7 linked regions of the Macaca mulatta genome follow. The protein of the gene in region 1 binds, or shares a complex with, the protein of each later gene. Links are inferred from orthologs where the notes say so. Each region holds a gene or a part of one and is shown on either strand. Other genes may lie near its edges. The genes, in order: KAT5, MBTD1, MORF4L2, ANP32E, ING3, BRD8 and RUVBL1.

Region 1 (4,185 bases):
GGTCTGGAGAAGAGAGGACAGTCAGGAACAAGGGCAACGTGGAGAGTGCTGGGAAGGCAGCTTCCCTGGACCCCTCATACCAAGTGACGCTGAAGACACTTGAGGCTACGGCCGTACTTGAGGCAGAACTCGCACAGGTAGAGAACAGGCAATGTGGTGAGCTCCTGTGGGTACGGGGAGAAGTACCACGGCTTGAGGCGGTGCCGGCCCAGCTCAATGCACTCGATGTTCTTCATCCGGGTGACGATGTCGTCGTGGCTTCGGTCAGACACCAGGCTGCCAGTCATGCGTGGTGCTGATGGTATTCCATCTGAGCTGTCCTGGGAGTCCTGCCCAGGGCCAGTGGAAAATACCAGGTTAGAAGAGACAGCTCAGCAGGACACCACAGCTCACAGCCCTTTGACAGGTTTCCTGCAAGCCTAACAGCAACCCTATGGGGGAGGTACCATGATCCCCAATTTCTGGATAAAAAACCTGAAACCCTAAGGGATTGATGATGTGGAAAAGATCACTGAATGACCCTTGTTTTTGAGATGGAGTCTCACTCCGTTGCCCAGGCTGGAGTACAGTGGCATGATCTTGGCTCACTGCAACCTCTACCTCTGGGGTTCAAGCAATTCTCCTGCCTCAGCTTTCTGAGTAGCTGGGATTATAGGTGCCTGCCACTACGCCTGGCTAATTGTTGTATTTTTATTAGAGACAAGGTTTCACCATGTTCGTCAGGCTGGTCTCGAACTCCTGACCTCAGGTGATCTGCCCGCCTTGGTTGGCCTCCCAAAGTGCTGGGATTACAGGTATGAGCCATGGCACCCAGCCCCAATGACTCATTTGAACCATGTTCTGCCTGGCTCCTAATCCCACCAACACTAGCCCCGCCTACCACCCCTTCTTTATTTTTAAACTCATCACTAACTCTCCACCCTGCTTGCATCCCTTCCTTTTCACCCAGCTCCTTCTGTTGCTCCCCAGACCCACCTCATCAGTGCCCAAACAATTCGATTTTCGCTTCCGTCCTGGCTGGGCTGCCACTGCCCTACGGGCTGCTCCATTCTGCAGATATAGTAGTAAAAGAAGGGATGGCTGTGAGATGAGCCTGAAAAAGGCCACCAGAGAGTAGAAGAGAGAAAGGGAACAAGAAATGGTTTGGGAAACTCACCTGGGGAAAAACCGAGGCCGGGGCTGTCTCGCTGGGCACTGGAGTTGCTGGTGAAACCACCTCCACCTTCCGTTTCTGCAGAGAGAAACCAACAAAGGTGGGTCAGAAGGTAGAGAAGGTGGGACCTGAGAAGAAAGCAAGGTCCCTGGAATTGCTGAGGGTACCGTTGAGCGGTGGTTGGGCTGCAGGCAGGAGCTGGAGGAGAGCGGCTGGTCAGGCTCGCCACCGGGAATGGCCTCCCGCTCCTTGGGCAGGTTGAAGCGGAGTGTGATCTGGACCGGGATTGGCAAGGTCTTCCCGCTTGCCTGGGCCGAGGCCGGCTGTAGAGATAGGTCCAGGGTCTTCCTCTGGGGCGGGGATGGCAGTGGAATGGGGAAGGGGAACAGGGGTCCCTCAGCTCAAAATTATCAAACCCCACCCTCGCCTTCTGAAGGACACAGGACTAGCTACTGGACTCTGGGAGCTACATGTGCAATTCGGCCCCCATCCTTTGCAAGATGAAGTCAGGGTGAGAGGGAGCCGCCTACTGCCCATCCAGGAGCCCCTAATGCCAACAGATAAGAGAAACACGAGGCAGGAGAGAAGAGGTGAAGTGGGGGACCTACTCACCACCTCTCTCTCTGGAGAGCCGGGACGGGACCCAGGAAGTCCGTTCTTGGTGGGGGTCTTGGCCTCTTTCTTCGGGAACTGGATCTTCTTTAGGTCCAGCCGCTCGTGCGTCACCCATTCATCCAGACGTTTGTTGACTGCAGCAGTGGGGATGGCTCAGGACAGAATGCCAAAGACTGTTCCCCAACCCTACCCTGATGCCCCACCTCAGGCCCAGAACTCACAGTCAATGTAATGGACGTAGAAAAGCTTCCGGCCACTGATGTCCTTCACGCTCAGGATCTCAGCCAGGGCTATGGGAATAGCATAGGCAGGGGCCTTAGACGGGCCGGGCCAGGCTGAGACTCCACCCTTCCACGACCTGAACTCCACCCCAAGGCCGGATCCCTAAGCTCCAGCACTTAGAAGGTCTCTCCTAAGTCTCCTTCAGTCACTACTGCCACCCCTTTCCAGGCCCCGCCCTGTACCTCTCGGAGCAGCTAAGAGCCACGCCCCTTCATGGGAGTATCTGCGCCCCGCCCGCCCCATAATTCCAGAGGCCCCTCCCCATCCCGGGGGTTCAGTTGACTCCCTCCCGCCCCTCGCCCTCAGGTTCCTTAGCCCCGCCCCCCAACGTCACTCACGCCACTCATCTTCGTTGTCCTGGTTCCGCCGCAGCACGGGTAGGCGGCAGCCCTCGATTATCTCCCCCTGGGGAGACAGCGCGGCGCCAGGGTCGGCTACTGGGGGGCCTCGGGCTCTACCCACCTCCCCTGGCTCCCTCCGCCCCGCCCCGGGCACCGGACTCACCACCTCCGCCATCTTCCCTCCCTCCACTGCCACTTCCGGCCCCTGTGGGAGACGTCACTTCCGGGACCGAGCCCGCTGTAGGCCCGGGCCTCACGAAGCCCCTGTAGAGGGGGACCTTTGAGAGTCACCGCGACCCAGTTGCAAGGGGCAAGACTGCCCCTGTGACTCCTGGGAAAACGAAGTGTTACAAGCCTCAGGCCGAGTCCTAGGTGGAAACCCCACAACGTGCACAGCGATTGGAGAACTACTGAGTCTGTCACGTGACGCCCACCGGGTGCGACGCTGTTCACGTGGATGCGGAGCGGGTCACGTGGCAATACCGTTTGGGCTTTGACGGAGGGCAGTCCTCGGGCGTCTCCTTGTGGCGGCGGGAGGTGTTGTCGGGAGTGAACTGCGCGCGAGAGGCTGGAGAAAGGAACTGTGCTTAGAGGGGCTCGAACGCTCCCCCAGGTCTGTGGACTTCATTCCGTAGGCAGGAGGACTCAGGGAAGATTTCTAGCTTTATTTCGTGTATTAGGCTTCTTTTATTTTTGAGACGGAGTCTCGCTCTGTCGCCAGGCTGGAGTGCAGTGGCGCCATCTCGGCTCCCTGCAACCTCCGCCTCCCGGGTTCAAGCGAATATTCCTGTCTCAGCCTCCAGAGTACCCAGCTAATATTTGTATTTTCAATAGAGGCGGAGTTTCACCATGTTGGCCAGGATGGTCTGGATCTCTTGACCTCGTGATCCGCCCGCCTCGGCCTCCCAAAGTGCTGGGATTACAGGCGTGAGCCAGGGCGCCCAGCCATATTAGGCTTTTTTTTTGAAACAAGGTCTGTGTCGCCCAGGCTGGAGTGCAGCGGGGGAGGCATAATCTCCGCTCACTGAAGCCTCCGCCTCCCTGGATCAAGTGATCCACCTCAGGCTCCTGAGTAGCTGGGACTACAGGCGCGCACTACCAAGGCTGGCTAATTTTTAAAAATTTTTGCGTAAACAGGATTTGGAGACTGGGCATGGTGGCTCACACCTGAAATCCCAGCTACCTCCAGCCTAATCATGAGAAAAAGATCAGACAAATACCAATTGAGAAACATTCTACAAAATACCCCATGAATACTCCTCAGAACTGTGAAGATGTCACTGGTGGAGGGTGTCCAGATTCTTGGCATCTTAAAGAATTGGACAAAACGGCTGGGCGCGGTGGCTCACGCCTGTAATCCCAGCACTTTGAGAGGCCGAGGCGGGCGGATCACGAAGTCAGGAGATCGAGATCATCCTGGCCAACACGGTGAAACCCCGTCTCTACAAAAAAAAAAAAAAAAAAAAAAAGATACAAAAAATTAGCCGGGCGTTTTGGCGGGCATCTGTGGTCCCAGCTACTCGGGAGGCTGAGGCAGGAGAATGGCCTGAACCTGGGAGGCGGAGTGTGCAGTGAGCCGAGATCATGTCACTACACTCCAGCCTGGCTGACAGAGCGAGACTCTGTCTCAAAAAAAAAAAAAAAAACAGAAAAAGAAGAACAAAAGAATTGGTCAAAACGCACAAAGCAAGGAAGGAATGAACGATTTATTGAAAATGAAAGTACACTCCAGTGTGGGGGCCGGCTGACCATAGGGGCCAGTTACAGGATTTGTTGGAGTTTAAATACTCTTGG
Region 2 (2,732 bases), on another chromosome or scaffold:
TACCAAGTTGTTATTTCACAGACAGAGGGAAATGGCAGAGAACTGATCAGAATCCCTTTCGTGGGGTATTTTTTTAGAAAGGAAAATAAACTCAGAACAACATTGCATTTTCCCCAACCCCTCAATGTGTAGACTGAGATCCTGTATATCCTGTCAACCATTCCAGTTTAACACTTTAGTGTTAGGATAATTCTAATCATTTTTTTAATTAAAAGAGAACATATAAAAGTATCCAGAGTTCTTCCAGTTTCGTATAGAACTCCAAATAAATTTTCACAGAATGAAAAATATTTCTGTACAAACATTTAAAATGGGCTGCAATAAAATGCCAACAAGCAGAAATAATGACCCCTTCCATGACCTGTGTGGTGATGACCCCTCCCCTCCATGAGGAGTTCAGTTGCATATTTCTGCAGCAAAGGAAGCTGGAGATGTGACTGGCCTAACTTCTAAAAAATCCCAAAATCTCCCAACAGGTACCAAAAAGGTTCATTTGTAATGACAGTTCATTTGCATTTAACACCTATATCCTTCTTAAATCATTTCCTTCAATCCTGCTACCTAAACTTTAATCTTACCAAAAAAGTTAGAATTTCAGTTCTTGTTAACAATGCACATAAATCCAAAGTTGGAAAATATTACAAAATTCTTTCAAAAGCTTCAAATACAACACAAAAATTGTCCATCTTTATAAATTGAAAATTTCCCACCCCACCCCCCCGACTAAAATAGTTTCCCCACCCACCTGAAAAATGTGGAACTGAAATCTTCTATGTTTAGCAAAATGTCCCAGTAGAATAGCCCCCTGTACAGCTGGATTGATTATAAATCAGTCCTGTGTAAAATCCTTCCCCTCTCGCCCTCAGTTTCTGAGCCACCTCATGGCTCTTGTTTGATGTAGAAGTTGGCAGAGCCATTGCTTTCCTGATCAGACGCTCCTTGGAGGAAATTATAGTCCTCTCCATCCAGCAACTCCTCCTTCAGCTGCAGTGTCGTCACTGAATGGGAGAGAGAAACATATGGGCATTAAGGCTCTCTAGAGTACTCAGATTGCCTATGATCTTCATGTTCCATCAGTTTCACAGTTATTAAGACTTCTTCATTTCTTCAGTAACTTCAAGTTAAGTCCCTAAAGTACGAGCATTCAGTTAATTTTAATTTTCAAGTACATTAGCAGTTAAGAAACATTCTGGAAAGGAACAGTACTGCATAATGCACACTGCACAATGGACATCTTCAATGAAATGTTCAGGGTAATGGTGCTCACTAATCTGACTGGGATGAGAATTTTGTGATCAAGTATTCACTTTTATGTCAATGTTTGTACAAACAATGATGTAGTTCTTTCATGGTTCTTAAGTACAATCTTTTTTTTCTGAGATGGAGTCTTGCTCTGTCATCAGGCTGGAGTGCAGTGGAGCAAACTCGGCTCACTGCAACCTCCGCTTCCCGGTTCAAGCGATTCTCCTGCCTCAACCTCCCAAGTAGCTGGGACTACAGGCACATACCACCACACCTGGCTAATTTTTTGTATTTTAGTAGAGATGTGGTTTACCATATTGGCCAGGATGATCTCGATCTCCTGACCTTGTGATCTACCCGCCTTGGCCTCCCAAAGTCTGGGGATTACAGGCGTGAGCCACTGCGCCCGGCCTCTTAAGTACAATCTTAATTACCAACACAATAAATATGACTTTAATATATTATTAATCCCAAGGAGTTTTTTTTTTGAGACGGAGTCTCACTCTGTAGCCAGGCTGGAGTGCAGTGGTGTGATCTCGGCTCACTGCAACCTCTGCTTCCTGGGTTCAAGCGATTCTCCTGCCTCAGCACCTCGCCCCCTCCTCCTCCCCCCTGCCCCGAGTAGCTGGGACTACAGGCGCCCACCACCACGCCCAGCTAATTTTTGTATTTTTAGTAGAGACAGGGTTTCATCATGTTGGCCAGGATGGTCTCAATCTCTTGACCTCGTGATCCGCCCGCCTCAGCCTCCCAAAGTGCTGGGATTACAGGTGTGAGCCACTGCGCCTGGCCCCAAGGAGTACTTTTATTAAAAACATTATCTGAAGAAAAAGATATAAATCTGATGTTAAATCAAAACATTAAAAAAATTATAAATTATATAAGGATGTAACATACATTTTAAAAAAGTAAATCTGGGCTGGATGTGGTAGCAGCCTGGGCAATGTAGCAAATCCCCAGCTCTACAAAACACAAACAAAAAAAGCTGGGTATGGCTGTGCAAGCCTGTAGTCCCAGCTACTCAGGACTGAGGCAGGAGGATTGCTGGAGCCCAGGAGATCGAGATTACAGTGACCTATGATTGTGTCATTGCACTCTAGCCTGAGTGACAGAGTGAGACCCTGCGTACACCTCTTCTCCTACGAAGAAAAACGAATATTAAACTCCTGAGCCGAGTGTGGTGGCTAATGCTTACAGTCCCAGCTATGTGGGAGGACAAGGCAGGGGGCCAGTTCAATGCTGAGTGCCTGCCTGAGTTCTTATCTGATGACTTATTCTTTAACGAAAACAGATTAACAGTATAGCCATGTTTCTGTAGGTCTTTAGTATGGAAAACAGTTTTTCAGTTTCACATCCCCAAAGTGCTGGGATTACAGGCGTGAGCCACCACGCCTGGCTGTGTTCGGGTTTCTTAAAGTTACTGTCTGGCTGGGCGCAGTGGCTCAAGCCTGTAATCCCAGCACTTTGGGAGGCCGAGACGGGCGGATCGC
Region 3 (4,242 bases), on another chromosome or scaffold:
ACTATACAGCAAACTTAGCTTTTCTGATGGTGACCTAGAAGGTCAAACAAAAGGACAGGAAAGGACATAAAATAAAAAGATATGAGATATGGCTTTCTTCTACATCAGCCAATGCAATTTCATCACACACAAAGGACACCAAAGCTGATAAATAATGTACAAGTATTTCTTTTTCCTTTCTTGTGGCTACATTTTCAAATTTAACTTATTGTATATTTATATAATTTCTGACAATTTTTTTAACTTTTCCTTAAAGATAATTTCAAATGGATGAAATAAAAGAATAGTATTACAAACCTACACGAATCCATCATCCAGCTTTCAACAATTACCAACTGAAGGCCATCTTGTTTCATCTATAACCCCACCCACTGCTCCCCCCCACCCCCGACTTTTTCAAGCTCACGGGAATATCTGACTTCTGTATTTTATTATACAAAAATTTAAACGTATACCAAGGAAAGCAGATTAATATACGGAACCCACTGCCTATCACTCAGCAAAAACTATTATTAATTTAGGGTCAATTTTGTTTCATCTATACCCCTCCCCATTTCCCCCTACCGCTTAGATTATTTTGAAGCAAATCCTAGTCATTAATGTATTTAGAAGCCAATCCCAGACATTATATTATTTAATCCGTAAATATTTTCGTATATGTCTCTACAAAAAAGGACAATTTGAAAACATAATCACAATACTACTGTGACGCCTAAAAAAATTGACATCAATTCCTTAAAAAACATCAAATATCGAATCCATGTTCCAATTTTCCCGATGCGTCTTAAACATATTTTTACAGTTGGTGTGTTCGATTCAGGATCCAAACAAGGCCTACTCATCGCATGTGGTTCATCTCCAGCTCGCTCTCGTTCTCCATCTCTTTCTTTCTCGCACTCCACCCCCCCACCTTTTATTTAACTTTTCAACATGGGAAAATTACAATCTCTGCAATTTTGAGGCAATTCCCAAAGAGCAAATTATTTCATTGGTAAAAATTGATATATCTCTTTTATCTTTAATTTATTCTAGGAAAGAAGTTGATGGCAGAAAGGGCACTACAATTAGCGAATTTATATAATTTATAATTTTTCTCATTCTATTACGTGTATTATTTATCTCCATAACAATAGCTAATATCTTCAGGGGCCAGGCTTCATATTACGTGCCTTATACGCACCATTATACAGTACACGTCTCTGAGGTAGATACTATTATTATCACCATTTTACAAACATGGAAACCGAGACACAGAAAGAACAGGAGCCTTGCCCAAGCTGGGCGTTGGCGAGCAGGAATCTGAATCCAGCTCTGACCGATTGTGAAGGAACTAGCTAATCCCGTCTATACCCGACGAAAAGAGGAAATCATCGACCCTTTCTCCCCACCCCCACCCCGAAACCTGAAACGAGAATCCAGATCTTCCCAGCAGACGACGTGTGATCACTGCCGTTCCTCCAACCGCCATAGTAAAGCCAGGTTTCTCTGGCAACTGATATCCATAGGCAGACACGTCACCCTGGAGGAGGGCGTATGCCCTTCAGCCAATCACAATCGTCTTGTCTAAGTTTTAGAATGTTCCATAACCAAATGATTGGACAACCACCCCCACGTCAGCAATGACACTTCGCCGCAGTAAAGGCGGGTGCTAGCAACCTGCTTCTTCACTGTTAAGGCCTACAGCAAACCAATCCTCTTCCTCCGTCAGTGCGAGTTCCGGCCAATGACGTTCGCCCTCTTAGGTTTTTAGCCCGCCCTCCAAAAGCGTGACAGCCGTTGGGTCATAAGTCTATAGGGCAGAATGTTCACGTGGCCTATTTCACGACCCAGAGTTCCTCTGACCAGAAGGTTTTTTTTTTTTTCCTTTTCCTTTTTTTTTTTTTTTTAATTTTTTTCCTGCAGGGAGGCATTATGGGTTTGTGTTTCCCCCCAGCCCCCCACTGGGAGAGGAAGTGTCTACGTGGCCTGCGGAAATAGGCGGAAATGAGCTAAGGTTCCCGCGAGTGGGGAAGCGCGAGGTCAAATCTGGAGCCACGCCCCCAGGCCTGTGGCGCAACTCCCCGAACATGGAAAAAAAAGGCGCAGTGGGGGGTTCTGCTGTGTTTGCGAGTTAGGGTCGTGAGTGCAACGGGCGCAAGGCATTAAGGCCAGTGTGTTAGTGCGCGGGCAGGCTCGAGTGCCCCTGGGGTTGCTGTGTGAGCGGCCCTCGTGGCGCTGGAGGTGATGTGTTTGCGCAGGCGTGCGCCCCTGGCGTCTGGACTGGTGAGAGCCACGGCGCGCGCCCGCGTGCGTGATTGGGGTGGGAGTTGCGGGGAGGGGTTAGCTACTGCGCGCAGGTTATCTATTTCTGTATTTTGTTTGAAAATGTTCTAATGAAAATGAAAATAAATAATTAAGGCAAGGCGACAATAACAGAGATAAAGGGGCACTGTCAGAAATATTTTGGCTTTCCCTGATTTAAATACTCCTCTGTGCCAAAATCCGGTCGTAAACCACAGCCCTCCAATGATTCAGAGCCAAAGCCTTCCATCGTCACATTAGCAACTCCAAAGGGAGACTTCTTTCAAGTTGTCTAGTATCCTCCTCCCTCCCCTCTTCCACACCTCCCCCCTCCCTTCAAGGTTGCGTGCAGTTCTCTTGGCACAAATACAATTTTCCTATGAGAATATCTATCTATGACAGCCTTCCCCTCCGTTAGAGACTCCGGATTTTTATGGTGACTAGGGCGCTCTTACCTTTGCGTCCTGATCTCCAAGCAAGCACACTGACCTTCTTCAGGCAAATACGCACTGTTAATTTTCCAGAAAGTTCTGTGGGTAAGGTTTATACCTCTCGAGTTCGCCACTAGATGCCGCCAAATCCCAGCAAAGGATTGGCTGTGTGGTCCCTGGGATTCTGGGATTTTGTTTCCCTCCCCCCTCCCCTTTCTTGATTTGCTGAACGCTAATATCTAAGGCATCATTGATATCGTTCATTCCTAGGAAAAAATAAAATCAGCTTCTGTGAATAGCACTAGTAGTCAGGGAACTGTGACCCAAGATCCAAATAATTTTACTCATTTCTTTCCTTTTCTCCTTGGGTGGGGGGGCGGGGGGGAAGGCCCCTCTCCATCCCTCGCTTCTTTTGTCCTTGCCTTGTTTAATCAAAGAGTTAATGAATGACCCAAGCACTGATGCTGAAGATCCTAACCCTTTTTCCTCACCTTTTCAAATGCTCGCAACTCACCCAAACTGAAAATACAGATAGCTGTTACTTTAGTAAAGAGATAAGAACTCATCAGTAAAACTTGGACCCTGGTATTGAAAACTGATTTTCCTTTTCTCTTGAAATTTGTATCAGATATGTGTGTTTGCACCCTATTTTCTGTAGTGGTATTGATAGACTTTATTGTGTCTTTGGAGTAAGAGAAAGAGACTTAATTGTTAACCTCATTCCACCACTTACTAGTCTCAGTACCCTGGGCAAATGATTTATGTTCTGTGATCCTCAGTTTTTTGTATGCTTTCTATATTTTAGATGCTGTGTTATATCCTTCATGTCGATTTTTTTTTTAATTTATCACCAAGTCCTTATTAGATGAGCAGTACTAGATCAAAGTCAAACAACAAAAATCATACCCCTTTCAATTATCTATCTTATATACTTGTACACAAGAGGGATTTTTTTAGAGCAGTGGTTCACAAGATGTGTTTCCTGGATGTACCAGAAACATCAGCATCACCTGAAAAATTGTCAGAAATTCACATTCTCAGGTCCCACCTCAAACTTAATGAATCAGAAGTTCTCACGGTGGGGTTTGGTAATCTGTGTTATTACAAACTATCCCAGTGATTCCAGCACACACTGAAGTTTGAGAACCACTGCTTTGGAGAGTAGAAATGCAATGCATATTTTTGTATACACCACTAGAGGGTGCTACAGAATGTAAAGCAAAATAATAAATGATGCACAGTATATGTTTTCACACACCATCCATATTATCAGTCCTATTTTACAGATTGAAAACTAATGTGTAGAGATGTCAAATTATTTTCTTAGTGCACACAACAAGTATGGGAACCAGGATTTGAACTTCACCTGCCTCTAGCCCAAGCCCCTAATAGTACTCTGTTGTGTAACCATAATGACTTGTCTTTCCAAGCCTCAAAATACATTAGAAATAACTTGTTCCCTGCTTTGGCTAATGTTGACTGGAGTGTCAAGAAGAGTGCAGGAAAGGAAACCAAGTAAGTGGAAATATTT
Region 4 (4,200 bases), on another chromosome or scaffold:
GTTCTCTATACCCGATGTGAAAACCTGTTTGAGGTATCCGAGGGCTAAAATTTGGCAACAAGGAATGCCACCTTCTCTATTTGAATACGACTTTGACATAATTATTTCTGTTGCCAGAGAGAGCATCTTGAGCTCCGTTTTGGAGAAGTGGAAGCTATGGCCCAGAGAACAAGAATGGCTTGCCTAGAGTCACACTTGGTTTGCAGCAGGGCTGTGAATTGGTTCGTCTTCACACTCCCCATTTAGTTGAGGAGTGGGGGCTACTAGATTTGGTGTCAGAAAACCAATTCCTGCACTTGCGTAAATCATTTCACTGTCCTGAGACTCCGTCTGCTAATTTGGATTCTAGAATAACACAATCCACTTTACAAGTGTGTAAGGAGGAAAGTAAATAACAAACGGGAAAAGTGCTTTGTAAACTGTCTACACAAATGTAAGAGACCGTTATTACAACACAGAGGAAGAAGCTGAAAAAAGGCAACGTCCTGCACTCCCAAAACTGGCAAAGAAATTACTACAATCACTAAGTCAAAGAATCCTGGCGGGGGAGGCGGGGGCGGGATTCAATTTTCCAACCCAAGCCACCAAAAAGTATTCTAAACGTGTGCTTGTGAGAGACAGCTTTTCAAGTTTGATTTTGTTTTTTCCCTGAAGCCCCTAAGAATAAGTTCTAGAAACTTCAAGATCTCTCCGGAATGACCCTGATAGCAAGCAACTGTTTCCCCTCCCTGGCCCCTGCCAATTTCAGAAAACAGGCACCTTAAAAAAAAAAAAAAGGCCGGGCGCGGTGGCTCAAGCCTGTAATCCCAGCACTTTGGGAGGCTGAGACGGGCGGATCACGAGGTCAGGAGATCGAGACCATCCTGGCTAACACGGTGAAACCCCGTCTCTACTAAAAAATACAAAAAAAAACTAGCCGGGCGAGGTGGCGGGCGCCTATAGTCCCAGCTACTCGGGAGGCTGAGGCAGGAGAATGGCGTGAACCCGGGAGGCGGAGCTTGCAGTGAGCTGAGATCCGGCCACTGCACTCCAGCCTGGGTGACAGAGCGAGACTCCGTCTCAAAAAAAAAAAAAATTTATTAAAAAAAAAAAAAAAAAGTCTTAGTTGCCACTCCACACGCCGTACGCGAAAGCCTAGACAGACCCTGCTCATCCTCTATGCGGGTCTGCACAGACACCACCCCAGTTATATCCTTCTATCGATCGGTCGATCCAGCTACAGACAACTCCCTTACATTCCAATTCTAGGGCTTCTTTCAGCAAGACAGATGCTTTCCTCTGCGAGGCTCCCCGCTGGCCACCAGCCCTGCTCTCGCGACCTGCCGCTCCGACTGACGGGAAACCCCACACCGGGCGGGGACTCCCCAAGGAAAAAAGGGGTCGCCTCCCAACCCGCGTTGCCCTCGCGCCTTCGCCCTGGGTAGGTGAGGCCGAGGAGGCAACCGCGAAAAGGAGGCGGAAACGCCTCCTGCCCGACCCCCGAAAAGTTGACCGCGACCCCGCCTCATGTGGCCCCTCCCAACGCCGTCTCTTTAACTAAGGCAACAGCAGTGAGAGCGCATCATTTAGTTTCGGCGAACCCATCTTTAAAGCACGAAACTACTACGTCCCTTATGTTGAGTTCTGTGAAACCGTCTCCAGGGATCAAATTCAAGAGTTGCGGCCACACGACGTGCCACATATCTTTACACGGCGGGGGAAGAAGCGGATTACGCCTCCCGTCCCCTCCCCACCTCCGGTCACTGCGACGAGTCCCCAAACTCGCCCGCGGTCAGAGAACCCGCGGCTGACCCAGATTCCGCCGGGCGGAGGGCGGAGGGCGGAGGGCGGAGGGCAGCGCGCGCGGCTTCCCGGAGGAGTGGGCGCCGCCGGAGCAGACAGTGCGCGGACCTTGAAAGCGACCCCAGTCCGCGCCCGTCGCGACGTCGGATGCCCAGGGCCTTGAGGCCGGGGGAGCCCACCCCCCAAAAAGATGAGTTGGCCGCACTGCAGAAAAGTTGGACTAACTTCTCAGGCGCCGATGGCTGCGGCAGGGGCCGAGTGGGACTGGGGGGTCGCGTCCCACGCCGCTGGCCCTCAGGAGGAGGAGCGCCGGGAGCGAAGCGGCAGAGCGCCCCCACCAGCCCGCTTCCCGCCCCCACGAGGCCAGGACGCCCGACTCGATGAAAGCCGAAAGGAGCTAAGCCCCCATGCACACACAAAAACGCCCCTAGAAACTTCAACCCTTCGCCATTTTAAGTAGAAGATTTTAATGATTTAAAACTTAAAATTAAACATTTCCCCAACCCTAAACCGGGGGGGCGGGGGCTAACTTATTACTCCATCCCCGCACACCCACCCAGGACCACCAGAAATCCGATCCTCAGAATACACGACTGATGGGGAAGGGGTGGGGGCTGAGTCATCTCACCTCCTCCGGGGCTCTGTTCCTTAACTCCAGGTTAATCTTCTTCTTCATCTCCATGTCCTCCTCTTGCTCTTCAGCTACTACTCTCCTTCTTTTCCCTTTCCTGCCTTTCCCAATACCCCCAACCCAAAATTTTTAAGAGATTTAGAAATGAATGAAAAGGAACGCAAATATAAACGCCCACTACCACCAGATAGGTGTGGGGGAGAAAGAAGAGAATAGCAAATGGAGTCCAAGAGTTGGGACTCTAACTCAGCTGCCCCCACCTCCTTGTCCACACACTAGCGCGCGCACTCACACGCACGCACGCGCGCACACACATACACACACACATACACACGCACACACACACACACCCGCAGTTCCTTCCCCTTCAATGGCTGCTCAGAGACTGAGCCTCCATGACACGGCACCGCCAACCCCCTGGCCTACACTCCACCCACCTCCCAAACGTATTGGTTGATTCTTTAGCGTCACATTATTCCATTGGGCTAGGTAAATGTCTATCAGTCTTCAGGGAGGACCTGGACCAGAAACTCCGTATCTATTGGCTACGATCAAGGGCGCAGTTAATTTTGATAGGTCCAGGAGGGTGTACGTCCGGGAGTAATGATTTTGAATCCCAGTTCCCCCCCTACTTTTCTTTATGTAGTTGGCGCGCTTTCCCTGGGCACTCGGACGGTTTTGTTGTCTGTTGGATTTGTTTTTTAGTTTTTGGTTTTTTATTCTGTTGTTAGTGTTAAAAAGGGAGAAAGCATCCTTCCGTGCCCAACTTGCGATACTGATAATTCACCACACGGCATGCACTGGCTCTTGGCCGTTTTAAAAACACAGCCTCTGCTTTGCAGCCAAGGTGTACAGCAACGTGCGCATCACATTAAAAAGATGCCTTGGTGGCATTGTCCTGCTGGGGTCAGGCTTTTCACAGAGGCTGACCTTCCGTGATGCAGAGCCAGAGCCAAGATTTTAAAGATGGTAGTTTAACACTATAAAAGACAACAATTTTGAAAGCAGTTGGGTGAAGTATGTAAGTTAATAATATTTAAATAAAACTATCCTGGAGGAATTGTTACTGAGTTAATTTTTGCTGTAATAAACACTAAGACCTTGGAGGAAAAACAACGCTGGCCTAATGAAAATCAGACATTAATTAGCATAGAAATGGCACAGCAATGCCTCTCTAATTTCCCTTTGGTTGGTTTCCATGGAAATCTGTAGGTAAAGTGTGCTTTTAAAAGTGTTTATCGCTTCTTCTCTGCCTTTTGGCTAAGATCAAGTGTAGGATCTGTTCTTAACAGTTTAATATCTGATATATTTTCTATCCGAGTCCAATATATTAAATGGATTTGGGGAGCAGGAAGACGCAATAGGAGCTTTCTTGTTCACTTAACGCATCCACCTGGTATTACAGTACCTCCAGGAACAGTGCACCCCCTCAGGGGATTAAAATTTAGTGTTCAGGACAGAAGAAGGAAAAAAAAAAAAAAAAAAAACCAGTTTGTCTATGTGGGATGGGATATGAAAGAGTGGGATAATAATTATCTTTTAGCCGGGTGTGGTGGCTCACACCTGTAATCCCAGCACTTTGGAAGGCCAAGGCGGTGGGATCACCTGAGGTCAGGAGTTCGAGACCAGCCTGACTAATATGGTGAAACCTCGTCTCTACAAAAAGTACAAAATACTAGCCGGGTGTGGTGGCGGGCGCCTGTAATCCCAGCTACTCCAGAGGCTGAGATAGGAGAATTGCTTTAACCTGGGAGGCGGAGTTTGCAGTGAACCGAAATCGTGCTATT
Region 5 (3,500 bases), on another chromosome or scaffold:
TCCCACCAAATTGATGTGTCAAAAGAAGCACTGATACAGTCATTTTTTGACTGTATCAACTAGCCAGCAGTCATCTGACTAACAATTCATCCACTCACTGACTTACCAACCATTCAGACTTAATTATATGCCAAACATTAGGTTAAGCACTGGAGAAGCAAGGATAAAAAAGACAAAGGGCCTATTACAAAATAGTTTATTGTTTGGCTCAGTTGAATAAGGAGAATCAGGTATGTGTATGAAGGGAATATATGTTATTACAATATACGCTTAGCTCCCTAAGGAGAATCAGGTATGTGTATGAAGGGAATATATGTTATTAGAATATACGCTTAGCTCCCTAAGGAGAATCAGGTATGAGTATGAAGGGAATACATGTTATTAGAATATATGCTTAGCTCCCTAAGGAGAATCAGGTATGTGTATGAAGGGAATATATGTTATTAGAATATATGCTTAGCTCCCTAAGGAGAATTAGATATGTGTATGAAGGGAATATATGCTATTAGAATATATGCTTAGCTCCCTAAGGAGAATCAGGTATGAGTATGAAGGGAATACATATTATTAAAATATATGCTTAGCTCCCTAAGAAGAATCAGGTATGCGTATGAAGGGAATATATGTTATTAGAATATATGCTTAGCTCCCTAAGGAGAATCAGGTATGTATATGAAGGGAATATATGCTATTAGTACTATACATTCTCCCTCTACACATTTAAGAGAAAACAGAATACTCATTTCCGAATCACCTATGCTCTCCTCAAGGAAAAAGATAAGTCTGCCAGTACTTGCAATAAAAAAAAAAAAAGAAGGGATTTACTTCTCAATTGGTTGTATAGAGTTAAAAAAAGAGAACATACAGATGATATAATAAGGTTTTCATTGTTTTTAAAACTTAGCTGCACTACACCAAACTTACTTTCCACTGGAGTATGTGAATGAGCATGGTGATTGTTCACCGGCTGTGAAGGAGTGTCTAATTCCAAAGATCCTAAAAGAAGAGAGGCACAGAGATACACCACCATTAAATGTCACCGCAGAACTTCACATATCACTCAACTACAGGCAATGAGTTCCCTTACCCAGCAGAGGACTAGCAAGTTCTGATGCATATGCCTGTATTATTTTAGCCAGACATGTTAGAGGATCACCACTGTCCATCCCACACTGAGTATATCCTCTCTCTAAACAATAAGTTATCCCTTTCCCAATATTTACCTTAAGTACAATATGGCTCAAGGAATACTCGTGTCTAATTAGGGAATTCACCACAGTGGGTGGCATATAAATGAATGAATGGACATTGTAATCTCATTACTGGTAAGAGTCAATCTAGTTTTACTGACTTGAAGATGTTTTAATGGGAGATTCTAAAGTTCTATGTGATGGGGGACATTACTATATGAAAAAAATTATTTGATCATTAAAATGACATTATGGTAATAAAGACTTCCTAAAAGAAGTTAGGGATTTGTTTGCAAAAAGTGAGGAATAGAATTTGTAACACCAAGCTTTAAAACACCTCTAAATAAATTTTTCTGGGTTTATTTTTGATCCCTTGAGATGAAATTATGGCAGGGCACAGGGTGGAGCAGTTTTTATAACTTGATCCAATTTTGTTTCATATGTCTGTGTCCTTAGAGAGGATGCTTTAGTAACCTTCCTGCAGTACTGAATAGGCATGAATTATCATTACTCACAGCTATCATCAGCATTTTTTAAAAATCAAAGCAGCTACAGAATTTTTAATTTTGTCTCAAAATACTTATTATCTTTATATAGGGTTCCTCCAGAAGAAAAGTATCACAAATAAATAGATGATTATCTAAAGTGATGCATCTACTTTTGAACACAAAAATGCAACTATAGACACCAAGACAGATCTGTGATTGGCTTCCCTAGCTGACTTCTAGTGACTATATAGAGAGATACATAGATTGGCACTGTAAAGAAACCTTTCATCTGTGTGTAGAAACAGGTATATATTCTTGCTGTTGAAATGCATCAAGAAAAAATATGTTTGAAAGTTTTAATTAAATTCTAGTAGAAATTAGCCATAATACTAACTTGGTTCAATTAACATCCAGTGAGTGCCTACTCTATACCAAGTACCACACTAACTGCTTTTATGTATATTACCTATTTAGGTTGGAGGAAATGCTAAATTAGTCAAGGAAACAGTGCTCACGCTTCCATTTTTGGGAAGACACACCAAAGAAGTGACAGGGGTAAGTTATAGCAGGAGATCAAATAGAGCCTTGCAAAGAAATATTAAAATGGTTTCTTGCTGATAAGGGAAAGAGGGAAACACTTCTTTAAGAAAAAGAGGTAGTGTTATGAAACCAATGGAATCTTTTTCAGTATATGCAGTTAAGGAAAAGCCATAAAACAATTCTTAAGAAACTAACAACCTTCCTCAAAGCTTAAGTGTATAAAGAGGCAGAGTAAAGTCAACATACTTAATGCAAGATGGTTAATTTGTGTCCCGATGGTTACGTTTCTTTAAATTTGTTCTTACCACTCAACTTACTAATATATGTGAATATAAAATTATTTAATATGTTATTTCATAAAGAGTGAGTGGATGATATCCTATATTATCTCTCTCAGTATCCATGACCCAAACATTTCCAACTGCTAGGGTCCAAGCTATCTGACCTGGATGCCACCATCCACTGAAGGGCAGGTTTCAAAAGCCTCTGTGAGACAAGGTCTTCTCAGTGATTTGCACATGTACTGTCCAATATTGATGGAAAACTGTAAATTTTACTTACGCCTCTCTAATATTTCTGTAATTCCAGCATTATCAGCTTCCAGCTCCATTTTAAACTTAGCCAGTTCCTGATCCAGCTTTCTCAAGTGTCGATCTACCTGTTTCAAAGAAGATCAAAGATAACCACCAAAATTTGGGACACTGTTAAAGTGTCAGTTTAATGAGGAAACCTAAATCTTTGTTTCTTTTAGTCAATCTGCTTAGTATCCTTGAGCAAGTCAATTAACCTATGCCTCAGAGGTTTTTAATCTATAAAATGAGGGTGCTAGGCTAAATAATCTCCGAAGTCTCCTTTAATAAATTTTAAGTTCTAAGACCCAGACTCTCAACTTGTTAGGAAATGTTCTATACTCCATTTTCAGAAGTAAGGACGTGAAAATTAAAGCAAAACTGATTAGGGATTAGAGAATGGGAGGAGGGGATGGTGGAGGCTGGTCACTTTTCATAATACGCCCTGTGATTACTTAGAGCCTAATCTCCTCCTACTTATAAGGCCATCATCCACACTGTCACTGTCACACGATAAAAGCTATTATTTAGAATGATGAAAGATCCTCAGTCTACAAAGAAGTTCCTATATTCTATACATTTATTTCTCTAAGGCATGAGAGTGAATCATAATGCTTGTAAACACTTATGTGAAGAGGTGAAACAAAAGGGGTTGTTAGTCAGAAAACTCCATTCCTCAAAGGGCCTGGTTAAAATTATTTTATTTAAAATAC
Region 6 (3,434 bases), on another chromosome or scaffold:
ACAATACCACAGGCTGGATAATTTATAAAAAATAGAAACCTATTCCTCTTTGTTTTGGTTCTGGAGTCTGGGAAGTCCAAGATCAAGGCACTGGTAGTTTTGGTGTGTGAGGTGGGTTACTCTCTGCTTCTAAGGTGATGCCTTGTTGTTGTATTCTGCAGAGGGGATGAACACTGTATCCTCACATGGCAGAAGGGACAGAAGGGTAAGAGGGCACTCTCTTCGATATGGAGCCCTTTTATAAGGATGCTAATCCCATTCATGAAGGCAGAGTACTCATGAGTTAATTACCTCCCAGAGGCCCCACCTCTTAATACTGTTGCACTTGGGATTAAGTTTCAATATGAATTCCAGAGGGGATACCATCATTCAAACAGCAGAGACAGAATGATACCATCATTCAAACAGCAGAGATAAACTTCTTTAGGTATGAGGAAACTAAAGCTCAGAGGTGCTTGGTCATGACTTGCTCGTGATCAACCAACAGTTAATAGCAGAGCTAGAACTAAGCCCCAGATTCTTACCTGCAGTTCAGTCTTCTTTCTACACTGCTGTGCCTTCTCTTATATATCTACTTTCTGTGTTTCATTAATATTGTTTTAATATTCACTTGATCCTTTTTTCATCTCCATGAAAGGAGAAAAAATTATTCTTAGCTTTTTATTTGTGCAGTAAGAGAAGTAGATTAAATAATATATGACTGTACATTGTAAACAGCAAATAACTACTGTGTGATAAACTTATCATTGGTGCTGTCTACAACTTTGGTACCTGGGGCCAGCACTGCTCCTCTGATCGTATAGTGGCTTGACCTGTGGGCTCTGGAGTCGGGCTGCCTCTGAATTGGAATTTAGGCTGTGTGCCTTTCAGTGAGTACTTAACCTCTTTAGATTTCAATTTCTTCATCTGTCAAATGGAGATAATAAGGCCAGGGGCGGTGGTTCATGCTTTGGGGTAATCCCAGCACTTTGGGAGGCCAAGGAAGGTGGATCACCTGAGGTCAGGAGTTCGAGACTAGCCTGACCAACATGGTGAAACCCTGTCTCTACTAAAAATACAAATATTATGGCCGGGCGTGGTGGCTCACACTTGTAATCCCAGCACTTTGGGAGGTCTAGGTGGGCGGATCATGAGGTCAGGAGATTGAGACCATGGTGAAATCCCATCTCTACTAAAAATACAAAAAATTAGCCGGGCGTGGTGGTGGGCGCCTGTAGTCCCAGCTACTTTGGAGGCTGAGGCAGGAGAATGGCATGAACCCGGGAGGCAGAGCTTACAGTGAGCTGAGATCGTGCCACTGCACTCCAGCCTGGGAGAGAGAGCGAGACTCCGTCTCAAAAAAAAGCAACAACAACAACAAAAAAACCAAGAATTAGCTGGGCATGGTGGCGCACACCTGTAATCCCAGTTATTCTGGAGGCTGAGGCAGGGGAATCGCTTGAACCTGGGAGGCAGAGGTTGCAGTGAGCTGAGATTGCTCCATTGCAATGGAGCAACCAGAGTGAAACTCCGACTTTAAAAAAAAGTGCAACAAGAGTGCAACTCTGACTTAAAAAAAAAAAAAAAAAGGAGATATTAATGATACCTACCTTACAGGTTTATTGAGAGGATTGAGTTAGTATAGAAATACAGTGTTTGGCCTATTGTAAACAGGCAAATATTAACTGCTGTTGCTATTTTATTATCTGATGAGGGTTGTTATCTTTGTTACTGTTTTCATTAAGAACTGGTTAGTTCTTCAAGAGAACATGTTAGGTTATCATGTTCCACACAGAGGTTTGATTTTCTTTATTTTTTCTTGGTCACCTGCAGACCCATGGACTTAACTAGCCTGAAGAGAAATCTCTCTAAAGGTCGGATTCGCACCATGGCCCAATTCCAGCGAGACCTGATGCTGATGTTCCAAAATGCTGTAATGTACAATGACTCTGATCATCACGTATACCATATGGCTGTGGAAATGCGGCAAGAAGTCCTGGAGCAGATTCAGGTAGTGTATGTGGAGATCTGTAGCCTCTGGAATCTTGATTTCAGATCAAGATTCTATGAGAATAAAGGTGATTTTGAGGTGACTTTGTGTTCTCAGAGTTTACTTTTAAAGGTGATTAAGGCCCTGAAGGATTGATAATGTGCCAGCTGGTTTGGAAAACCCTGAGCCTCACAGTAAGTCCAGCTTTGATAGTGAAGTCGTCTAGGAATGCAGGCAGCAGTGAAGAGCTCTCAAGAGAGCTGAGGATAGACAAGTAATGGGAATTTCCGCTTCCAGAGCCTCAAGTCAAGGGCTAAACTTCAAAGAGGCCGGAGTCACTGTGTATTTTTTGGTTGCTTCATCTGTTGATATTAATGTATGTTCACACTTTCCCATCTTTAGGGGATAAGATATAGTAGCTAGAAGACATTTGTGGGTTTCTTTTCTGGGTAGCATCATACTTTAAAGAAAAAAGTATAGTTGAGTCTATTTGCCAAAAAAAAAAAACTTGCAATACTTCAGCGTTTAGGGTTCATAATAGCTTGCTATGTGTTCCTTAACCCTTTAGGTACTGAATATTTGGTTAGACAAAAGAAAAGGCTCAAGTAGTCTGGAAGGGGAACCAGCCAATCCAGTGGATGATGGAAAACCTGTTTTCTAACCTGCAGCTGCTATCCTGACTTTTTCTAGAGTTTCAACCTCTCCCCGAACTCTGACCTACAGAGGATCCTGGGACTTCTTTGCCATGTCCCTACTTTCTTTTCAAATAAGAATAATGCCTTAACTCACAACCAACGAGTCAAAGATGCATGTGGACATAATATAAAGAAAAAAAGGGGAAGCTGAGGTTTGGGTTTATGCCATAAATGTTGCCCACATCTTTGTTCCATAGGCTTGATTTAAAGACAATTCGATTAGATATTTTACTAAGCCTTTTACTCTATAAATAAATGTCTTTACACAAACGGAATATTGCTTTTTAATGACTAGATAAGCTGAGCATAGAGGGGACAGCATCATCCAGCGAAATGAAGGTATCTGACATGGGTCTTCTTACATTTACCACCTGGAAAGGAATGGGGGGGGGTTCTTATCATTTATAGAGTAGGGATAATTGCAGCATCCTTCAGACTGGCAGAAGGATGACATAAGTTATGAGTAAAATGTCAGAAAACATCTAGTGATCTAAGATTCACAAGGAGAATAAAAATGACTGGCTGGTTCCCTTTGGTTAAAACGAACTGGCCAGATGCTGCAAGGCTCCTTGCTGGGATTGGCCCTCTGCAGCCACCGTCCTCACGCTAGGGCCTCAGGTCTCCTAGCAACAAGTTGTAGCGTACGAGGACGGCCGCGGAGGTGAGTACTTAAGAGTCAAATTCAGAATTTGCAGGTGCAATCCAGAAAGTCCCCGCGGACCCAGAGGCCCTGCTTTCCAATTAGGCCTGACCCTATGCACAGAGAGGTC
Region 7 (3,500 bases), on another chromosome or scaffold:
GAAAAATGATGTCAATAATGCCTACCTCTCAGAGTGCAGGTGAAGCCTGAAGACGTTCATGTGTATAATGTCACCAAAGGCTAGCCCTGTCTGATCTCACCTTTGTGCACGCCAATTGAATGACCAGATTGTAGTATCACACCCCAGAGATCACATGGGAGACCCTCATCATGAGTGAAAGGGCAGCTGCTGCCTTTGGTGACTAGGGAAATGAGACCAGAGGCAAGCCACTTGGCACGTTTTCCTTCAAAAACAACGTGACCTCCCCTCATCCCCATTCCACCTCGTGGGGTTTAGCGAGATCCTGAGGAACAAACGAGCCCAGCTGGAAGGTAAAAAAGCCTTGTGGCTGGCAGGCAGCCATCCTACCTGATGACACAGTTGCCTCGGTTGGATGCAAAGATGACGATGGGGGCGATAGAAGACTCCAGAGCGCGGTGCAGGTAGGTGAAGCACTCAATGTCCAGCATGTGGACCTCATCAACAAACAGCACACCCGGGACCAGCTCAGCAATGCCCTGGTCGATGTACTTGTTCACCACCTTATTAATCTCCCCTCGAAGTTTGTCTAGGAGATGCAAGGATCGGCAGGCAAGGTCAGCACAGGGCTGGGAGAGACTATCGCCTTTTCTCCTCCACCTGAATTCAATCCAAACCCATGCTGGGAGCCTAGTTTTCCTACTAGCTATGTGATCCCTGACAGGGTGTGTCCCCCCACTCCAGGCTTCAGTGTCATCATCTGAACACAGTGATAATCACACCTAAAGGTCACAAAATTGGTAGCCTCCCCCAAAAGATGTGTTTGGTTAAATGTAAAAAGGTAGCACGGGTGTTCTGCATGGGAATCCCTTCACAGCACATGCTCACTGCTGTCACACTCCCTACCATGCCTTATCACCTCCCACACACCCAGTGTAGCTCTGTCTGATCTGGGAGACACTGGAGTTTAGGAGCCCTGAGTGAAATGAGTTTTCACATGCAAATTTTCCTATTCTATACTCAGTAAATGACCCTTTCTTTTGGTCCCATACAACAATGCTTAGGTTAATTAACTTTCAATCAAGTGCCTGGAATAAGGAAGTGGGTGCTTTTAGAATCCCGAGCAGAAACCTTCGAGGAATGAAAGGCTCTGAAGAAAGGCCCAATCTCAGAGCTCCTAGAGGGATGAGTCTCTCAAAAGTTACATAACCCAGCTAAGGTCTCAGTGCTCATTTTCCAAACCAGCTCCTGTGTTATTGTCAGGAGGGAGCAGCTCACAAACAGAAAACTGGAAGATCTGAGGCAGCGTCTTCCACCAAAGGCACAAGGCCGGGATTGTCCGAAGAGGATGCACACTGAAAATCATGTGAAAAGAAAGAAACTGCTCCTGACAACTCAAACAGAAAGGTCTCAGATTGCTGCCCTGGCTAAAACTTTAAAGATAATATTTGCTTTAATGTTTAACTAACATCTTAAAGTGACGAAATTGTAGGTAGAATTAGAAAAAAACAGCAACAGGAAAGCTGGGAAGAGCCGCAGGGTAAAATAAAGGTTCACAGGAGAGCAGCAGCAGTGTCCCCTGTGGAGCTCTAGGAAGAGCCCACGAACTGGGCAGGGCAGTGCGTGGAGCTGGTCTGTGAAGCTGCCCTGTGCTCTACTAGGGAGGGGCTGACAGCACCAAGGCTCCAGAGTCTGTGCTCGGGCAGAGCTGGGCGAAATAAATCCACATTTCTGGGGCCTCATAGGGACCAGAAACTGTGACTGCAGTGGGGCAGAGACCACACAGTGTGCTTGCTGTATGGCTGCCTAAATAATGCCAGAGACTAAGGCTAGAGTCAAGCTCTGAACTATGAGGAAGAAGGAACTGTTCTGAGGCATTTTCTCAGGGTGGATGTGCTCACAGAGCCGCAAGGGCATCTCAGAATGTAGGGCCCTCCACCCTGCCCCTTGCTCGCAGGCCACGCTGGTTCTCCTACCTGTGATTTCTGTCTTCTTTGGCTTCATTAGCTGGCCCATCATGGACAGGATATCTTGTCCCCCCTGCATAAGAGAAGACTTAGAGTCAGTGCTGCTTTGTAAGGTGACTACAGAAGCCTCATCCCCCTGCATCCCACTCATCAACTCAACATGGGATCCTGAGGTAAGGAGACCCCTCCTCAAAGCCTGAGGAGCTTCTAAACACAGAGGAATTTTTAGAGGTTCCCTTGACCTGTAAGAATCAAACAAAATCCTTTCATGGTAAGTATAAGCTCCGTGGGGCCTGCCCAGCCTCCTTCTCCAGCCCTATCTTTTTCCAATCCCTTGTTCCTTGATTAGCCACATGAGACTACCAGCCCTGCCCTGGACACCCGCAAGCTCTTTTATGACTCGATGCTTTTGAGTCTATTCCATCTGCCAGGAATGCCATTCTCCTTCCTAGGAAGTTCCCAGTCATTAAAGTTCAAGTCAAATGCCCTCTAGGGGGCATTTGACCCTAACCAGACTCATGACTTCCTCCCAATGTTTCTGTGCCTTTGGGGACACACGGACTACAAGAGTAAGTATAAAGAGTAAGTATAAATATACCATGATTATACTGCTGTGCCTCCTCTCACTAGATTTGACCACAGGCTTGCATCAGCCTAGTCCTTACTTAACCTAGAGCTACTCAGTCTATGGGCCCCTCCCTGTGGAATGGCTGACTCCATAACAGGTTCACCACTCACCTGCATCCTCCTATGGGCTCCTAAGAGTGCAGTCAGCAAGAGGAAGAGGCTGGTGTTTGGTCATTTGTTCAGCATTTAGTGATCACCTGTTAGTTACCAGGCCCTGAGACACAGAGGTGCTCACTAAATGCTGAATAGCTAAAGGCAGCAAATGTTTCCTGTCTGGTCCTCAAAACTGCCTTGCCAGGTAGGAGAAAACTCAAAATCAGAACCCTAAACCACAGAAAACCCAGAGACCCAAAGTGACAAATTAACCAAGCTGGTCAGTGATGGAGCAACACAGTTCCTGACTTCTGACTCCCAGCCCAACACTCTTCTCAGGTCAAGGGCTCCCAGGAGTTCAGTTTGCGGATGGCCACTTCACCAACCGAGGGGACCTGTTGCTCCAAAATAAGTCTTCAGTAATCTCTTGACCAAAGCTCCAAGGAACAAAACACCCACGGATCAAATTTCAAGTCAGAAAACAAACTATTCCCTAATAGTGAAGAGGTCTTTTTTAGGATGAAGAGGAAACCAAACTGCAAGACCATCACAAGAAACAGTGGTGTCTTGTTTCTTTTAATCACATATTTCCTACAAATGCTGTAAAGTGATAACATCCTTTCCTACATTTTACTAGTCAAGGCATAAGTATCCATCTGCATGAGAAGCAGACAACAGTACCAGCTCAAAGCTAAAACACTGTGGCTTTTGCTAAGCAGGGGGAAAGAAAGAGCTTTGTCAGGCTTTCTGAAATCCTGTAACGGGCTCACAGAACACTCCTGCCCTCCTGCCATTAACACCCAGAGAATCCCAGGCGTGAGCCCACTGCTGGAG

The links.
Region 2: KAT5 (region 1) and MBTD1 share a complex: the UniProt entries of both Homo sapiens proteins name them as parts of the nuA4 histone acetyltransferase complex. The link is inferred for Macaca mulatta from reciprocal best matches to the Homo sapiens genes KAT5 and MBTD1.
Region 3: KAT5 (region 1) and MORF4L2 share a complex: the UniProt entries of both Homo sapiens proteins name them as parts of the nuA4 histone acetyltransferase complex. The link is inferred for Macaca mulatta from reciprocal best matches to the Homo sapiens genes KAT5 and MORF4L2.
Region 4: KAT5 (region 1) and ANP32E share a complex: the UniProt entries of both Homo sapiens proteins name them as parts of the SWR1-like complex. The link is inferred for Macaca mulatta from reciprocal best matches to the Homo sapiens genes KAT5 and ANP32E.
Region 5: KAT5 (region 1) and ING3 share a complex: the UniProt entries of both Homo sapiens proteins name them as parts of the SWR1-like complex. The link is inferred for Macaca mulatta from reciprocal best matches to the Homo sapiens genes KAT5 and ING3.
Region 6: KAT5 (region 1) and BRD8 share a complex: the UniProt entries of both Homo sapiens proteins name them as parts of the SWR1-like complex. The link is inferred for Macaca mulatta from reciprocal best matches to the Homo sapiens genes KAT5 and BRD8.
Region 7: KAT5 (region 1) and RUVBL1 share a complex: the UniProt entries of both Homo sapiens proteins name them as parts of the SWR1-like complex. The link is inferred for Macaca mulatta from reciprocal best matches to the Homo sapiens genes KAT5 and RUVBL1.

The regions. Positions count from the first base shown.
Region 1 is NC_133419.1:8,680,893-8,685,077, forward strand, and holds the start of KAT5 (histone acetyltransferase KAT5), read right to left. Parts: upstream 2,801-4,185; 5' UTR 2,567-2,800; coding exon 2,389-2,566; intron 2,059-2,388; coding exon 1,990-2,058; intron 1,903-1,989; coding exon 1,766-1,902; intron 1,504-1,765; coding exon 1,321-1,503; intron 1,232-1,320; coding exon 1,157-1,231; intron 1,051-1,156; coding exon 976-1,050; intron 330-975; coding exon 81-329; intron 4-80; coding exon 1-3. UniProt on the Homo sapiens protein: Catalytic subunit of the NuA4 histone acetyltransferase complex, a multiprotein complex involved in transcriptional activation of select genes principally by acetylation of nucleosomal histones H2A and H4.
Region 2 is NC_133421.1:58,823,564-58,826,295, reverse strand, and holds part of MBTD1 (MBT domain-containing protein 1), read right to left. Parts: intron 2,693-2,732; exon of another isoform or gene 1,969-2,692; intron 999-1,968; coding exon 880-998; 3' UTR 1-879. UniProt on the Homo sapiens protein: Chromatin reader component of the NuA4 histone acetyltransferase complex, a multiprotein complex involved in transcriptional activation of select genes principally by acetylation of nucleosomal histones H4 and H2A.
Region 3 is NC_133426.1:110,318,700-110,322,941, forward strand, and holds the start of MORF4L2 (mortality factor 4-like protein 2), read right to left. Parts: upstream 2,801-4,242; 5' UTR 2,736-2,800; intron 1,472-2,735; exon of another isoform or gene 1,395-1,471; intron 35-1,394; 5' UTR 1-34. UniProt on the Homo sapiens protein: Component of the NuA4 histone acetyltransferase complex which is involved in transcriptional activation of select genes principally by acetylation of nucleosomal histone H4 and H2A.
Region 4 is NC_133406.1:116,901,896-116,906,095, reverse strand, and holds the start of ANP32E (acidic leucine-rich nuclear phosphoprotein 32 family member E), read right to left. Parts: upstream 2,801-4,200; 5' UTR 2,465-2,800; coding exon 2,411-2,464; intron 2,077-2,410; exon of another isoform or gene 1,734-2,076; intron 1,517-1,733; exon of another isoform or gene 1,236-1,516; intron 1-1,235. UniProt on the Homo sapiens protein: Histone chaperone that specifically mediates the genome-wide removal of histone H2A.Z/H2AZ1 from the nucleosome: removes H2A.Z/H2AZ1 from its normal sites of deposition, especially from enhancer and insulator regions.
Region 5 is NC_133408.1:160,738,879-160,742,378, reverse strand, and holds part of ING3 (inhibitor of growth protein 3), read right to left. Parts: intron 2,877-3,500; coding exon 2,780-2,876; intron 997-2,779; coding exon 925-996; intron 1-924. UniProt on the Homo sapiens protein: Component of the NuA4 histone acetyltransferase (HAT) complex which is involved in transcriptional activation of select genes principally by acetylation of nucleosomal histones H4 and H2A.
Region 6 is NC_133411.1:146,994,368-146,997,801, reverse strand, and holds the end of BRD8 (bromodomain-containing protein 8), read left to right. Parts: intron 1-1,812; coding exon 1,813-1,990; intron 1,991-2,537; coding exon 2,538-2,630; 3' UTR 2,631-2,934; downstream 2,935-3,434. UniProt on the Homo sapiens protein: May act as a coactivator during transcriptional activation by hormone-activated nuclear receptors (NR). Isoform 2 stimulates transcriptional activation by AR/DHTR, ESR1/NR3A1, RXRA/NR2B1 and THRB/ERBA2.
Region 7 is NC_133407.1:155,874,757-155,878,256, reverse strand, and holds part of RUVBL1 (ruvB-like 1), read right to left. Parts: intron 2,020-3,500; coding exon 1,956-2,019; intron 569-1,955; coding exon 370-568; intron 1-369. UniProt on the Homo sapiens protein: Possesses single-stranded DNA-stimulated ATPase and ATP-dependent DNA helicase (3' to 5') activity; hexamerization is thought to be critical for ATP hydrolysis and adjacent subunits in the ring-like structure contribute to the ATPase activity.